2 linked regions of the Caenorhabditis elegans genome follow. The protein of the gene in region 1 purifies or fractionates together with the protein of each later gene. This does not show direct contact. Each region holds a gene or a part of one and is shown on either strand. Other genes may lie near its edges.

Region 1 (3,760 bases):
CTAGTATTCTGCCCATTGTTTGCTCATAGCCATTCAAAGTTCTTTGCAACAATTGCAGATTCTTTAACAGACGCTGGTCACAACGTGGTACGATTTTCAAATCAGAAATTAATCAATTGACACTTTTATTCAGGCATTTTTCACACCAATAATTGTCGAAAAATACCGAAACTTTAATTATACAAAATCAACGAAAGATGTAGTTTACATGGAACCTTCGAAGAAACTGAAAGAATATGGAAGACAAATGAGTACAGGAGATTTTGTCAGGTATTGGACTGAAGACTCAACGGCCACAGAAATTATCACAGTTGTTCGGATTTTTCAAAAAATGTATAATGAGCAGGGAACAGTGATGAAGGACAATATCGAAATTCTGAATGATTTGAAGAAACGGAAATTCGATGTTATCATTTTCGAGGCATTTATTTTTTCAGCCTATCGTAAGCTTTTTAATATCTAACAGGCCAGATATTTTATTTTCAGCATTGATGGATTATCTGGAAATCCCAACATTTATTCCATCTCTATCTGTTGCACACGACACTGCATTGGCAGTAGAAATTGGTGAACCAGTTATGCCAAGTGTAGTTTCAGACTGCTTATCTCCATTTGGTGATAAACTATCAATAACTGAAAGAGCATTCAATGCATTCATGGTTCCATATTTTGATTTTATGATTGGATACCCCACACATAGATCTTTCAAACCTCCATACAATCCAATTGATATAAGATCTATCGTTCCCGAGGCATCATTTGTATTCCTCAACTCTAATCCATTTGTTGATTTTCCAAGGCCAACTCTCACAAAAACAATTCAAATTGGAGGAATATCAGTTGATTCAAATGAATTGAGAAGTCAAAAACTTGATGAAACATGGTCAGAAATTCTCAAGTTGAGAGAAAAAACAATGTTAGTGTCATTTGGATCAATGTTGTACTCAAAGGATATGCCATTCAAAAATAAAATAGCATTGAAAAATGCAATGGAAAAGTTCAAAAATGTAACATTTATTTGGAAGTATGAAGATGATAGTTCTGACGAATTCGCAAAAGGAATTGAAAATATTCATTTTGCAAAATGGGTTCCACAAACTGCTCTTCTTGGTAAGTTTGTATTCCTTCGGTTATTCAAGACATAAAAACTAAAATTCAGTTATTCTATTTCAGCTGACTCCCGTCTCTCTGCTTTCCTTACTCACGCCGGACTTGGTAGTATCACTGAACTCAGCTACTTGGGTAAACCTGCTATCTTGGTATGTCAAAACTATTCAAATCTATAAAATTGTAATATTTTAGTGCCCACAACTATTCGACCAAATGAGAAATACTAAAATGCTTGTCCGTCACAATGGATCTATCGAGCTATCGAAATATGATCTGGGAAAGTCTGAGAAAATTATTGAAGCTTTTCAAGCAATTTTGTTTGATTCTTCATATGCAAAAAATGCTCAGAAATTAGCAGAACAGCTTGAGAATCAGCCAATTAAACCGAAAGAAATGATGGTTAAACATGCTGAATATGCAGCCAGGTTGGTTTTTTATATTTTACTAAGATAAAATTATTATTCAAGTTCTAGATTTGGGCGTCTACCATCACTGGATCCATACTCGAGAAAAATGTCTTTCGTTGAATATTTCTTGCTTGACGTCGCAGCCATTTGTGTTTTTATACTGACATTTGTAGTTTTTGTAGTAACGAAATTAGTACAGTCTTTATTTGATATCTTTTTGATAAAAAGAAAAACTGAATGATGCATGGAGTGTTTGATAAAAGCGCTTTCTACCCATGTGTAGCCTCTTCAATTTTTGTTATAATGGTTTTTTTTTTGAATAATATAATTATTTATTTCAGTGGATTTTTAACTAAATTACTATCTACCAGGAAGTAATTTTTTTTCAAATAGTCCAACCAAATCGTTAAAAAACAGAAAAAAAAACAATAATATGAACTTGAAATAACAACAAAAGTCTAGCCTAGACATGGTCACACACACTTTATACATTAATGTGACCAATTTCTGACTATTTTGTGTTATCTGCCGATACAAATGAGAGACCTTATATAAATAGTGAAAAATAAATTGTCTGAAAACATTGATCAGGATGAAAATTCTTATTTTACTCTTTGCTTGTTTCAATGTAAATTTTTCTTATAATTTTCTAATTTTCTCTCCATTATTTGGTCATAGCCACACAACTTTCTTTGCTAAAATTGCGGATACTCTTTCTGAAGCTGGGCATAATGTAGTAAGTTTTCGAACTACAAATATAATGGACTTAAAAAACAATGATTCAGTTTATCACCGCCTAATCTGGCATTTTCCCAAAACCTCTTGGCAGGGTGCACACTGTCTCTTTTTTTGAAATGATTGTTTAGAGTGAGTTGTTAATATTTTGATATTTAACTAGAACTCTCAGACAGGTCTGGTAAATGTTTTTTAATCGAAAAAGGGTTTTTTCCAATTAGACGAATTAATAGATGACGAGTGTAGTTTGAAATTCTTGAACTTAATTATGTAATATTTTTGGATGAAACGTTTAACTATCTCAAAACCTCAAATCTACATATTTAAAACAATACGCTAAAAAAAAGTCAACGAATAGTTTGTTTCCAAAATTCAATTTTTTAGACATTTTTCACACCTACAATCATCAGAAAGTTTTCGAAGATCAACTATGTGAAACACACAAAACACGTGATCCACCTGGAACCCTCTGAAAAGCTGGAGCGATACGGAAATCAGATGGAAGATGTGGATATATCCAGATTTTGGACTGATGACTCTTCGATGGCTGAGATGTTTCCAATGATTAAGCTTTTTAATGAAATGTTTGCTGAGCAAGCATTTGTATTGGGGCAGAATCTAGATGTGCTCGATGAGCTCAAAGAAATGAAATTTGATGTAATGATTTTTGAAAGATTTGCGGAATGTGCATATCGTAAGTTGGTCTTGAAATTTAAAATTGAACGAAATGTAATTGAATTTCAGCTCTGCTTGAATATCTGGAAATTGAAACATTTATTCCATCGTCATCATTGTTATTTGATCCAAATTTATTAATATCAATTGGAGAGCCAAGAATACCGAGTACAGTACCACGTGAGTAGACCTTTTTGCTGATACAGTCGATCAAAGAATGTCTTAAAAATATTTAATTGGAACTAACTGGAAAATCTAAGCATAAAAACTAAGCATTAAAAACTAAGCACGTTGGACTTGAAATTTTGTGCGGAATCCAGTTGAAACCCTATTTCTTGATATGGTGAAAAATCTACTCAATAGTTGTTTAATTGTGACCACAAATCGAGTGATATCATTTTGAATAGATATGTATAATAATTTTGGATAAACAATGATCACAATGGAAACATTATTAACAGTTAACTAACTAGTATTTCAGTTCCTATGTCCAAATTCACTGACAAAATGACAATGACCGAGCGGCTTCTCAATGCAATTGCTGTTCCAATTTTCCATTCGCTTCTTCCAACTCACGAATTCAAATCATTCCGCCCTCCATATCAAGCCATTGATATTCAGAAAATGGAACATTTGAGCTCTTTTATACTCAGTAATTCCAATCCATATATTGACTATCCCCGTCCAACATTGGAGAAAAATGTTCAAATTGGAGGAATCTCAGTTGATGTTGAGAATCTAAAAATCCACAAAGTGAATGAAGAATGGGATCGAATTCTAGACATGCGACAAAAAACTATTCTAGTATCGTTTGGCTCTGTCATGCTCTCAAA
Region 2 (2,869 bases), on another chromosome or scaffold:
CGACGTGTCTCACCACATCGTTAGTAGGATTTCAGAACACATTAAGTAGAAATCAAGAGACGCGGAATAGTGAAATGAAAATGCGACGTTTACCTTTCTGAGAAGGACGGTTACACCGGATGTACGCGTCGACGCTTTAATCTAATAAGGATAAGGTTCAATGCATGAAAAGGTGTTTACATTTGAAACCTTCTATTTCGGTTAAAAGAACTCGAATGAAATATTGCATCAGAAAATCTATAGTTTAGAAAATGCGTTTATTTTTAGAATAGGACAATTTTACAAGCAAGAGTCATAAATTAATACAAAAATTACAGAAATGTCAAAAAATAACGATATTCACAACCATTCGGATAGAAATTAAAGAGACAATCAAAAGGGTCATTTATTGTAGTTGCTTGATCTCTTTTCCTGTTTTCTTCAGAGCTTCAAGTACATCAGATGCTGGTAAATCAGTTGTAACTGTGATTTTCTTGGTTTCCACGTTAATATCGTCAATTTTGATTTTGTCTTCTGTAGAATAATAGGATTAATTTGATTAACAAAAAGTAAACCAAACCTCCAAGCTTTCCTAGAACTTTTCGCGCAGCATTTGCACAGCCATTGCATGTCATGCCCATTTCGAAAACGTACTGAAAATGTTCAAATTATTTTTTTTTTCACAAATATGAGAATATTTAATTGTAATTTGTAAAAAGTTAAATAATTTACCTGTGTCATGATATTTGTTGAGTCAGAAATCTGGAAACTCTGCTTCTGCTTGCCTGAAAAACGTTAATTTGAATGATTGGAATTAGTACAGTCGAAAAGAAATGAACAAAGAGACGCAAAATGGAGAGACAGTGATAGGGCGACTCGTGGTCAATGCTTTATCTCTGAGAATTTGCATCATTCGACATTTTTTGATCAAGTTTTCAAGAAACTGCGATAATTAAAAAAGGAACTATTGAGATGGGACAACTCGAATGGTTTAAGCAACTTTTAAATGTTTTCCAGTTTTTTTTTTTACTTTTTGGAAAAATTTATGGAAAAATGAGAAAGAAGCTTAGAAACAGGATAAAGACACCAAATGACGTCACAGCTTTGCATTAATGCATCTTCTCTATTTTCTCGGCGTCTCACTCATCTTCTACTTTGAAACGAGCGTTTTTATGGGGTGAGAAAATTATCGATTTTAAGGGTGATCAGTTAAAGAGAAAAATAAAGACGATAACATTTTGATGGAGCCTGTTAAATGTTGTGAATTGGAAGAAATAGAGCCTTATATAAAGAACTGTTTTATCATCTACAGTAGTCCGAAAGCCATTTAGCAGGATATTCGAGGCTGAAGAGAAGTTAACTATATTTAGATAGCATAACTTATTAAAACTCAAAAAGTACAAGGACATTGAAAAAGCGGAAAATACAAATACTCAGTTTAAATTAACTAAAAAACCAAAACCCACATCTTTTTCATGCATGATGCATGGGTATGATTAATTTTATGTCGTCAAGTATGGTGTCGCATACGCAGTCTGCAGTATGTCGTATTATCTGATGCTAGCGCAACTTTCGAAAATTCAAGGTTCTTTTTTCATTTTTATGGAGGATTTCGCAGCGTTTTAACCTTTTTAAATGTGTTTTGTTGAGTTTATGTTTATTAAAACAACTTTGTCACTATTAGAAAATAGATACATCTTTCCATCTCACTGAAAAAACCGTCAGATGGGTTTTAAACTTCTTAAATTGTTCAAACATAACAATTGTGATTCGGAAACGCTTTGAATGTATTTTTATTGCTTAAATTACTTGTGTCCTTCACTATTTTCGATATCCCTCGTTTCAAAATATATTATTTAAAAATATTTCAGAAATGTCCGCAGTTCAACCAGTGAACCCAAAACCGTTCCTCAACAGTCTCACCGGAAAGTTTGTCGTTTGCAAACTGAAGTGGGGAATGGAGTACAAAGGTTTGTATTGACATAATGAAATATTTCACCAAAAGCGCCAAATGTTTAAGGTGTCCTTGTTGCTGTCGACTCCTACATGAATCTGCAGCTGGCTCACGCCGAGGAGTACATTGACGGAAACAGTCAAGGAAATCTCGGAGAGATTCTTATCCGGTTGGTGCATTTTTTAAAAGAAAAAATTCAAGCCGTAGAAACTAAAGTTATTACAATCTTATGCACATTTATATCGTAGTAAATCTTGAAAAATGTTCTAACTTTAGATGCAACAACGTTCTCTACGTGGGAGGCGTGGACGGAGAAAACGAGACGAGTGCCTAAATTCTTCAAACCCTTCTCAACAATTGATCTTATGTTCACAAGTTTTCTGTCTTTTTCGCACATTCTTAATCAATAAATTATAATTATCTTATTAAAGAAGTTTTTAAAATATTTATTAAATGAAAAAAAAAATCATCAGCAAATTATGTAAATTATCAAAGACACAGCGAATCCTCTTTCACCAACGTGGCGCTCATTTCATTTTTGACATCTACTTCTTCAACAACTACAATACCATTCTCAATTGTCTTCAGCTTCTCTTTCTCATTCATCTCCTGATCATCCTCAACTTTAGCCCAATCTTGTAATTCTCCTGATCCGAATAACAAGAATATTGAACCAGAGAAAATATGTGCCAGTGAGCATCCTATGAAGATATTCTGCCACTCCGCAGCGGTTCCCTAAGAATATGGATAGCAAGTAGATTTGTCAAAAATCTCTAAAATAGCTTACGTCTTTTCTGAACATGCTCATGACTGCAGGAGTTGTCAATCTACCAATCATTGCAACAAACATTGAAATTGCAGACATGGTTGCAGTATATTGTGGTGCCAAACTGAGTAGTGATGTGTAAAATCCACTCACAAATGTTCCCATTGAGC

The links. Proteins that work in one complex are often made in the same cells at the same time.
Region 2: the proteins of ugt-37 (region 1) and snr-5 fractionate together in Caenorhabditis elegans (co-fractionation; one large-scale study listed by BioGRID). This does not show direct contact.

What each region holds. Positions count from the first base shown.
Region 1 is NC_003283.11:7,143,654-7,147,413, reverse strand, and holds the start of ugt-37 (glucuronosyltransferase), read left to right. Parts: upstream 1-2,095; 5' UTR 2,096-2,109; coding exon 2,110-2,253; intron 2,254-2,636; coding exon 2,637-2,946; intron 2,947-2,996; coding exon 2,997-3,107; intron 3,108-3,408; coding exon 3,409-3,760. Other genes in the region: ugt-38 (glucuronosyltransferase), read left to right, coding at 1-87, 134-443, 487-1,110, 1,174-1,259, 1,303-1,535, 1,584-1,758.
Region 2 is NC_003281.10:7,860,220-7,863,088, forward strand, and holds snr-5 (putative small nuclear ribonucleoprotein F), read left to right. Parts: upstream 1-1,850; 5' UTR 1,851-1,852; coding exon 1,853-1,949; intron 1,950-1,999; coding exon 2,000-2,102; intron 2,103-2,209; coding exon 2,210-2,267; 3' UTR 2,268-2,355; downstream 2,356-2,869. Other genes in the region: cuc-1 (Copper transport protein ATOX1), read right to left, coding at 386-513, 560-632, 712-720; putative transporter slc-17.3, read right to left, coding at 2,423-2,668, 2,721-2,869.